Linked DNA regions of Caenorhabditis elegans. The protein of the gene in region 1 purifies or fractionates together with the protein of each later gene. This does not show direct contact. Each region holds a gene or a part of one and is shown in the gene's direction. Other genes may lie near its edges.

The links.
Region 2: the proteins of gtnt-44 (region 1) and C04G6.11 fractionate together in Caenorhabditis elegans (co-fractionation; one large-scale study listed by BioGRID). This does not show direct contact.
Region 3: the proteins of gtnt-44 (region 1) and noca-1 fractionate together in Caenorhabditis elegans (co-fractionation; one large-scale study listed by BioGRID). This does not show direct contact.

What each region holds. Positions count from the first base shown.
Region 1 is NC_003282.8:9,962,130-9,965,889, forward strand, and holds the start of gtnt-44 (Glycosyltransferase family 92 protein), read left to right. Parts: upstream 1-2,115; 5' UTR 2,116-2,174; coding exon 2,175-2,570; intron 2,571-3,346; coding exon 3,347-3,451; intron 3,452-3,493; coding exon 3,494-3,581; intron 3,582-3,630; coding exon 3,631-3,760.
Region 2 is NC_003280.10:5,102,698-5,105,545, reverse strand, and holds C04G6.11 (uncharacterized protein), read left to right. Parts: upstream 1-1,711; coding exon 1,712-1,756; intron 1,757-1,811; coding exon 1,812-1,877; intron 1,878-1,920; coding exon 1,921-2,205; downstream 2,206-2,848. Other genes in the region: mpk-2 (Mitogen-activated protein kinase), read right to left, coding at 1-135, 437-718, 775-906, 984-1,082.
Region 3 is NC_003283.11:13,150,802-13,154,561, forward strand, and holds the start of noca-1 (Non-centrosomal microtubule array protein 1), read left to right. Parts: upstream 1-2,117; 5' UTR 2,118-2,118; coding exon 2,119-2,286; intron 2,287-2,330; coding exon 2,331-2,469; intron 2,470-2,511; coding exon 2,512-2,687; intron 2,688-2,818; coding exon 2,819-2,899; intron 2,900-2,947; coding exon 2,948-3,045; intron 3,046-3,090; coding exon 3,091-3,179; coding exon of another isoform or gene 3,180-3,223; intron 3,224-3,760. Other genes in the region: dhc-3 (Dynein Heavy Chain), read left to right, coding at 1-70, 141-599, 889-1,058, 1,102-1,234, 1,284-1,415, 1,465-1,665. UniProt on the Caenorhabditis elegans protein: Plays a role in the assembly of microtubule arrays in the germline acting redundantly with ptrn-1 to control circumferential microtubule assembly along the body which is necessary for larval development, viability, and morphology and integrity of the epidermis.

The sequences.
Region 1 (3,760 bases):
TTTTCGTTGCAAGCTTTGGTTTAAAAGTTTCGCAAACAAATAAACAATGAACATTGTGTTGAGAAGACAAGCCAAGTGAAAGGAAACCATTGAGAGCAAAAACAACAATCAATTGAAATAAAGAGTAAAGTTTATTGAATATACTGATATGTGAATACTGGAAAAATAATTAGTCTCTATAATTGGTACCGCCTGGAAGATTCATTTCTGATTCCCTTGTGTCTTTGACCAAAACTTTATTTTTTTCAGTTCAAAATTACAAAAAATAAATACTCATCTTCATCGATTCAGTGGTGTTTTAAACTCCTACGTTTTTCTTTTACAATAAAGGTAATGTAAACGTTCCGAGCGTGTAGTTTTCTCTGAAAATTTTTTAAAAATAACAACTTTATGGTATTTTTCTTAAAGTCTTAAACTGAAACCGAAACATTTTTGATAGGAAAACTATTTTAACATTTTGGGAACTCGGCAAAAGCTCTGCAGGCTTGCCGAACAACTCTCATTTGAAAGTAATAAATATGAAAATAAATTATCGAAGTTTTTTTTTTTGATATTTTATGAATACGGCTCTTGGTAGTTTTTGACGAGAAAATTACATGTTGCATAAATTTCAAGAGTTATAACTCATGGAGACCCTAATTTCTGGTTTCACTAGAAAATCAAAAAATCAAGCGTTTGAGCAGAAGACTGTAGGAAGAGCACACGTCATAAAAATTAGGGGATCAACGATCCGAAACGGGGAATTGAAATACGATATGCGATGAGTTTTGGTTCGAACCGGCTTTGTCCCAAAAAACAACAGAACGATGGTCTCAGGCTCACTTGACTCATCTCGGTGGGAACAATTTTTATTTGTTTTTATTCCGTACGCACAGAAACTTTTTTTGAGGTATTTTTGATCGTGGGTGGGTGGAATGGTAGCACCCAATTTCAAATAGTGTTTGATTTGAAGAGACAATGAAAGAAACAAGTGGGAGATAATGGAAATGACGTGATGAAATGGAACGGAGGAAAACTGGTATAAATATCGTTGACTATCAAAACTACAATAATACTAATGGAGAAAAGTTCAGGATTCTTGAAGATTTTACATTATGATAGTTGGGATTTACTGGTTTCAAGTTCAAATGTCAAACATCTGGAAGAAAAACGTATAAGATTACATCAAAATAAAACTAAAATTTGAAGGATAAAGTAAAACAGCATAATATAGTGTTTTACATCTCATGTAGGAAACGAACAAAATCTTTGAACACCTAGATAACTTCAAACGGAAGTTGGGTGAAGAAAAGAATAGGGGCCAGAATAGAAGGTCATTTTGACAAAGTGAACAGACAAAGACATTCCTAACTCGGAGGTATTCCAAAAACTGTTCCAATATTGAAGAATGACACTATTTGATTTTATATCATAACATTATTAATCACATGGCTTTTTTCTTAGGAAATTTATATCGCAAAATAAAAAGTGGCCTTGATGAGTCATTCATTCAAAACATGCCTAAAAACCTTCATAATTAATTATAAAAATGCTGATACTTGAGGACCCGTTTTTTTATATTTATAAACAGTTGTTTTCTTTATTCCGTTCTCACTTTGAGTTTTTTTCTGAAAATACTAAAAAAATTAACAAAGTTCGGCGTTTTTTGTCGATAATTCCATCTGATTATTTTCGGTTTTTTTACCTAATTATCAAATATTTTAGCCAGAGTGAAATTTATTATCTTATTAATATGTTTTTCAATTTGTTTTGGTATTATTCTGTTGAAGGAACATGTTGCATTTTAAATCTGTTGTTAATACAGCGGCCACATGTTTAGAACTTTATAACCTCGTTTAAACATAAATTGTATGCCATATTTATTGCAAGTACTACATGAGTTTGAAACAGTATCAGATACTATATTTTAAACAAAAATACACATTTTCCCCGCTATGAGAGATTCTGATACATTGGTTTCCAATTTTTTTAAAAACTTGAAATTCCTCAAGTCTCCCACTGAATTACAGATTTCTGTTCTAGATACCTCCAAAGACACCTAGATTCGACTTCGGCATCTTCCTCATTTTTATCTTCAGTTTCATCTTTTGTCTAATTTTCCGTACATTTCTTTGCATCCTTACCATCTCTCCCTCTCTCACTCACTCTTCTTGTTCACTAAATCTCAATTCAAAATGTTTTCTGCCACGTCATCATCATCATCAATGCCACCTTCTCAGAGCCCATTCGAAAAATTACCACGGCATCAAAATATTCGATATCACGAAAAATGCTTCTCAATTCCACTTCATACACTTAACTATTTTCTATGCGTTATTATTTTTTATTTCTTTGTTTTCACTATATTTTATCACGAACGTTATGGTGGAAAACCTGAAAATGTTCAAGTTACATCAGCAATTTATGATTCAAATTCAAACGAACTGTCATTAATCTTTCTATTTGATTCTTCAATTCGTCGACGGGAAATATTCCTTGGATTTGGTCCAAATGACTCAAAAACATCAAGAAATGAAACTCAAATTGAGCTTAAACCACCACCCGGATTTGTTGATAACTCACAAATTTCAGTAAGTTTAGGATTTTTTTTCAAAAAAACTTGATATGAAGTGTTGAAAAATTGATAATTGGGCCGGGCTTACATCAGAGTATCTAGTTATCTTGTATTTCAAATATTAATATTCAAACATTGTAGAGATTCGAAATGCGACAGTACTTCAGTAATTACCACCCACATTTTGACTGTCAAAAAAGTTCCCAAAAATTGTCGAAAACTTTTATTAGGATGTTTTCTCATTTTGGCACGATTGGAGTGTTTTTTTAACAAATCCCTTTTATGCATCAAATTAATATCTAATTTTTAAATCAATAATTTGGATTAATTCAACTTGTTTTATAAGATTTTCTCGCTATTAAATTAGCAAAAAAAAACTATCTTCAAACAATTAGCGTGCTTTAAAACTACTAGGCCTTTGTTGGCAACGTCTTTTCACATTTTGGCACAAAACTATAAACTATGCTCAGAATTTGGTAATGTTTGAAAATGTTTTGGGCAAGCATATAGTTATTCCAATTCTAAAGTAAGATTAGTCATCTATTTTCCATTCCATTTTTCCATTTTTCACCTATTTTTTCCATTATTTAACAACCAAGACTGAGCAAACATTTTCCTGTTTTAATTTTCATATATGAAAAGACATAAGCAAAAGCTGGATCAAAGCTTGGGCAAATCCTATTCAAAGTATTTTCCAACGTTTCCATTCCCTCGTTTGTAAAGTACAATTGGTAATCTTAAGGCTTAATTAATTATTGTGGGAGATTCATAATGTGAAAACTAAATGTTAAGATTTGGTCATCAATTGAAAAGGAAAAACCCCAGTCTTTAACTGTGAATGCAGAACATCCAAAGTCATTGCTTTTACGAGATCACACAGGACATCCATATTTAGAAGTAAGTTCAAATCAGAAATCCCCAATCCATTTTTTCTTGTAGTTACCACTTCAAGAACCATACTCCGATTTTCGCGACATTGTTAGTTGTTTCAGTCCAATTTATGGAGATTTTGAGATGGTTTTAACAGGTTTAACAAATTAATTTGGTTTCTTTTTTAAAACATTTAATTTTTATAGCTTTAACATCATCCATATCAATGGGATCATTTGTTAGTATACCATATGAAGAGCTTACTGGAGAGCTTTACAAGTTTCTACGTGTATTTGAAAAAACGGGACATGTCAGGTTAACTGCATTTCCAATGAT
Region 2 (2,848 bases), on another chromosome or scaffold:
GTCATCTCTTACTGTACTCGCAGAAGCATAAGCTCTTGCCATGCCAAAATCGGCGATTCTCAGTAGACAATCTCCATTTAAAAGTAGATTTGATGGTTTTAAGTCTCTATGAATAATTCCAGCAGAGTGAAGGTACTGAAAGTAAACTTTTATTTTGCACAGCAACTGCCATCTGCGCTATGCTACACAATCTCTTCACTTCATACTCTCGCTTTTTCATCTACACCCTTTTTTCTCACAGGTTCTCTGACATGTGTGGCCGAGTGGTTAGCGTGCGCGCTCTACGAATTGAGTGCGTTAGTTCAACCCGCTCGCAGTCGAGGAGGAAAGTTTCCATGCACCACTCTGAAGGATAGTGTGGATTATGGTTCACAATTTACTGAGGCTGTTTTGCTTTTTTTTCTTAATTTCCAGTTTTTAATTCATAAAAATTTACCTTCAATCCTCGAAGTAATTGATAGAAAAAGTATTGAAAATGTTGTTCCATGAGAGTCTGTCTTGAGTGGAGAATCTGATGAAGATCAGTTTCCATGAGATCCATAACTAGATAAATGTCCTTTCCATGAGCGCCCTCTGCAGTGAACATGTCTAACACAGCGATGATGTTCTCATGGAGCAGCTCACGAAGAATTCGAACTTCTCTCAATGATCGTTTGGCCAAAGTGTGTGCAGTGAAGGCTCGTGGGATTTTCTTGATTGCCACTTGTTTCTTATTTCTCTGTAATTGATTTTTCACAAGTTTTTAATTGTTTTTCAAAGTTTAAAGGAACATACCGTATCCATTGCTTTGCAAACCACACCATAAGCACCTGCTCCAACATTTTCCTCTGCCAAATACGGTGTTCCTTCTAACCAAAACCGACCGTCTAATCGAGCATGTGACTCTGCAGGAGCCGCCATTTTACTCTGAAATATTGATTTTTAATTAAACAATTTCTATCATAATCCACGAATAAATATGTTGTGTGGGAAAATACTATTACCTTATTGACAGTGTTTTTAGAAATTGAATATGTTTTGTGCTCTATAATATTGGTGGAATAATAATTAGGTGCTCTATAGAGCGTAGTTCTCGCACTCATTTTAATTTTGAAAAAAAAAGAAGTTTAAAATTATATTTTGTACCCTCTAATCCTTAGTTTTATATGAACAGAAAAAAGGTGTGGCATGTCAATTACAAGGTTATCAAATATTTGTTTTTGATATGAAAATTTCAAGAATGTTTCGTGCTAATTCGCACAAAGCACGTCGAAAATAGGAAAAAAGGTGCATACGTTTTCAGAAATGACGGGTTGATGACGATAAAGCTTCAACAGTACGTCTTATCACCATTTTTTCCCTTTCGGCTCCTCTCTCTCTCACGTTATCAGATTGAGAAAAAACGAGAGTTGGGGGTGGAGGGAAGCAGGAGGATGTCCTGTTTTTTTTCTGAAAAAAAAAAACATATTTTGTGATGTGGTTTTTAAAATATACACAGAAGTAGGCAAATTAAAACTGAGAAAAAATAATTGAAAAATTGTTCAGCTTCAAATAAAAAAACTGAATAAAATTTATATTATACTGGAGTTAGCTTATTTCAATTTCAGTGGAAGTACTTCATCTTCATTTTTTTGCTTAAACTTTTCAGATGACAAAAAATGATGTCATTGCACTGATTAAAAATTTTAAAGACGATTATTAAATGGGTCAAAGGAATTTGTAGGTGACAATTATGAAAAGTGAATTATCAGTCAACTTGAAGTGTGTTTTATGTGCGGTTTTTTGATTTTTAGCAAGATAAATTAAAATCAACTCGAAATAAGATTTTTCAGACGTTTCAAGAATTTGAAAAACAACTTTTTTCAATCCGTATTCTGATTTTCAAATTCCTTCAAAAAGTAACTGTATAACTGATAGTTTTAAAAAGTTTCAAAATTTTAGCTCTCACGAAAAACTGAATCGAAAAATCTTAGATATTCAGGAAAGAATAATATTTATCCACAATTAGCGAAGGAAATCGATAAGATCAGTGAAAAAAATAGAGGAAGAAAAAGAGAGATAGGAAGTGATGAAGAGAGTGTTAGAAATGAAAGAGACTGTCTGAAGAAATCAAGAAGACGTCTTCTTTCAATCAAGTTTTTCGTTTTTTTTTTCTGTCTTTTACCATTTTTTCTATCATCTTCTATCTTTTTCCTCTATCTCTTCTATCTTACTGTTGGAAAATGAATGAATGGTAGGCGATGATGAAGATGTAGATTTCGGATGATTTACACTGTGACTCATTTATTCAAACCGATCATAAAAGTTGGAGATTTTTTAGCATTAAAAAGATTTTAGGAATTAAAAAGGAAAAATGTGTTAATTATTTGAGAGCTATGAAAATTACTTTTCTGTCCTAAACCTACGTCTTCTTTGTTAAGTTACAGTATTCTTTCTGGGAAATTTTCAACAACTTGAAGGCAAAAGTTATTGTCTTTAATAATAATATAGTCTTTTATTTAATGTTCGGCTATTCCTCTTTCACATTAAAATTTCTCAATCTAATTCAAATTCTTTCGTGTTTTTTTTTAATTAAGTAGTTATCTTGTTAATTATTTGAAACACCTGTTACAAAATTGTGCAAGTCTGTTTCTAAATATTTTTAAAACAAAGTGATTGAAAGTTTAAAATATTAAACCAAGGAAAAAGTGTGTAGACATGAACTACTCTTGATCTTTTCTTTGTCAATTTTTGCGCAAAAATTTCTACGTATCAACTCTCCCACTATGCATCTCTCTTTATCTTTGTCTCTTGTTAACAAATTTCGGTTGAGAGGAGCGAAAGGTCAGACAACTGTGAGGAGGCTTTGTTTGATGATTATTGATACACT
Region 3 (3,760 bases), on another chromosome or scaffold:
TTTGCCGATTGTTCATTCTTCATTTAGAATTATTGTTGCATATTCCGACGAGATTTCAGCTTCTGATGAGGTACACCGTATTATTTTGTTCTACATATAATCCAGAATAACTTTACTTTTCTGAATCTACTTTTTTCCAGCTTATCGAAATCTCATCCCACCGCTTTTATTTTTCCCGTTCGACTTCATTGGCACAGCAGATTCGTAGAATTCTTGCAAATTTATCATTGAGAAGTTCTTTGGACAAATCAGAAGAAAGTCAAAGAATTCAAATAATACGATTGATTTCATTTCATCGAGGGTTAAAGTTACGACGGCTTTATGATCCAGAATTCAATGTAGTAGTTGATGATGCGGATCTATTGGCAATGATGAAGCTGTATCAAGAATTGAGAAATTTGAGTGATCAGCCGAATGAATTTCAAGATTTAATGAAAGTTAAAGTAAACGTTATTGAACCAATATACTTCCCAAAAACAAGATGCCAGGTTCAAAAGAATATAATCAGCGCGATGATTCAATGGATTGTTGAAGCTAATTTATCAATTCCAGCAGATACTCTTTTGAAAACTATCATTAAAGAAGATAATCATAACTTTGTAAGTTCAAACTTTTTTAGAACCTTTATCTAAGGCTTACACGCAAAAAAGTGTTTTCGGTATACGATGCAGGACTAACTAATTGTAAGAAGACGTTTGTGCCTGCCTCGTACCCGCACGAACGATACACGTGCATACTGGTGGCCTATATAGCCCAATAACTTAGTACAAAATAAAATTTCGGTTCCTTTGAGTCTCGAGACCTATAGGTAGTTACAATGCCTATAGGCATGTGGATAGGCATGAAATAAATACCCTAAACATCAGTATTTTATAAAAATTATTTCAGGAAGATTTCGCGCATTTCATGCAATCTCATGAAGAAAGTATCCTTTGTGGATTCAATGCTCGAAACTCTAGAGAATGTCGTGAACTGATGTACAAGAAAGTAACACAAAAAATAAAAATACTTTTTGAGCCGAATATTGGAGCAACTCAGCAAATCGCTAAGAAGATTGAGTTGGTAACATGAATAATTCCGCTTTAAAATTTAGATTTTAAGATCAAGAAGTTGGCTATTAGATGTGGAAAATGGCGAACGAGAAGTTGATGGAAGAAAAATAAACAATCTCACCGAAATTGTTTCTTTTTTGAAAATGCAATTTTGTTTGAAATATAAGATTGGAATTTCAGAAGTGAGCCGATTTTCTGCTTAGATTTTCTAATATCCATTAATATTTCCAGGTGATGGTGACCGGCGAATTTGTGAATGAACACTATGATCTTCCCAAACTAGGATCAGATTCCGACGTTCCTTTGCTGAAAATGTCGCATTGCGTTCTGATTTCAGCTCATTTTGTGAATGGAGAAATTCGAGTACATAGAACTACTTAAACAAGACTAGAGCAATTAATTTAATTTTCAGGAACCTCAAAATCGTCAAGCCCAATATACAACTGTACTTCTGAAGACCACAAAAAGAACCGGAGCAGGGAACCCAAGAAGCTTGCCAGTTATTTGTCCATTTTCACAGAACGCAGTGACTCAAATACCATTTCATTCACAATTTCCAATAGCTCATTGGCATCTTCGTGGCGCATTTGTAACAACTTCCAGACAGATTTGAATTTTATAAAGAATGAATTCGTGGTTCTTTTGTAATATTAAAAGTGTTTTTTTTCCAAAACATGATTATTTTTTCTCCGTAAATATTACAGCTACCGTAGTCGGGCGTTTGGTCTCGCCACGTAAATGCCGCTCTTCAACATATTTGAATATAAACGTTGTTTTTCTTTTGCATTATCTTTTTCGTTTCGTACGGCACTGATTTTTTATAAAATACAAACTTTGTAAAACAGAAAATAAAAAAGAAAACTCATTTTATCTCCGAAAACTTGTTGCTCGTCTTTGTCTTGTCTCACTTTAAAATTTACTGCCCCGCGCAATTGACGTGTCCGTTAGAGCGCGCTTGCATTATTTTTTTAGTTTCAAAAAAAATCGTTTCTCGTTCTTAACAAAATCGTGTTTTTCTTTTTACGTTCCGCAACTAATATGTTTAACAAGTTTCTATATTTTCAGAATGCTCAAACAACTATTGGCTTTGACTTGCATGCACAAAAAAGATAAAAATAAGCTTGCAATAACTGCTGGAACCGCAGAATGTTCGAACAGATCTCCTCAAAATTCACCGGGATCTTCCTCTGAAGGCGCTGCAGACGAATCTCTAAATCAGAGTGTTGCTATTCCGGTTATAATGCCAATTATTTTCTCATTTAAAATATTATTTTTCAGGAAGAAGCTCATCTGAACACTTCACAGTTTATTTCACTTCCCCTCTCCGACGTCTCATTTGAAGCCGCTGCATCTCAAAATCGAGCTACACCGATTGATTTTGGTACACGAGAAGTGAAAGAAGATGACGATGTTCTCAGTAAGTTGGAGCTAATCGTTCATTTTTAATGTTCCATTTAAGGTGACACTGGTCGTCGTCGAAGCGTTAACTTAATAACGCCTTCTCCTATTCCAGAAGAAACCGAGGATAACTTAACAGAAACGCCTATTCCTGTAGTTGAACACATTCCAAGAAGTGCAATTTTTGAACCTTTCAATCACGAAAATTCTCCTTTGTTCTCCGTGAAGGCACGTAAGGTATGCACGTTGTAATTTAAAACGTCGGCGTGTAGATTTAATCGATAAAAAACGAATCATTTCTCGTTTTCAATCTACTCGTCGTAATGAAATTCGAACAAATAATGGAGTTCTTCAAGAGAAAATTTCAGAAAGCTCATGAATACCGCTCCAACGATTCAACTCTCAGTCCTTCATCATCTTCCAACAATGACGACAGTATCCGGATTGACGTAAGCATCAAAATGATTAAATCATTTTTTTTAGTTTAAAATTTACAGAGTATCCGTGTCCGTTCATCAAAATCTGCAACGAATAATCAACTGAAAGGACGGCTTACACCAATACTAGGAGGGTCCCTTCGCCCGATTCCAAAAAAGTAAAACTCTTTCAATAAGTTCTGATAATTTAATTTCATTTTTAGAAGGAACCGAGTCGCTTTCAACGGAAATTCTACATTTGTCGCACCGGAGAGACTATGCTTGGAAGTTGATAAAATACATCAAGATCGTTGTAGGTTTTCCTTTGTACTAACATTATGTGTTCCTTATGCATGATGTTTATTTGATTAAGACGCACCGAAAACGGGAAGCTTAAAGTGTTGACAAATGTTAATAATGGGTTGAGGTTGGGGGAAGTGGGCAAAAGTAGCCACTCTACATGTATCGTAATCTGTACTATTGGATAATCGGGGTTGACCTCTTTATATTTTGTATTTTTATGCGATATGCAATTGTCCAACTCTTTTTAACTGCTGTGTATTGCTTACCATTGTTTTCGAGGCTTATGTTTCTATTAAATTTACATCTAGCCCCATCGACGTCAGGTGTGTGTTTATGCACTTTTATCTCAGAAGGGAACGTCGTAGATTCTTCTATCTCTTAATATCTGCTGGTCATTTCTCGATTCATCGGCTGTCGTGGTCATTTATCAGAGCTTGTCAGTCTATTGTCCCGGTCACTCGAGTTGTCTGCTCCTCCTTTCTGTGCTCACGGACCTCCTATAAACTCATAGATCTCACCTTTCCTCGTCTCAATGTTTCTATTGTCTTCTTCAATTTCTTGCATTTTTCAATTTGCAAACCTTCCTGCATG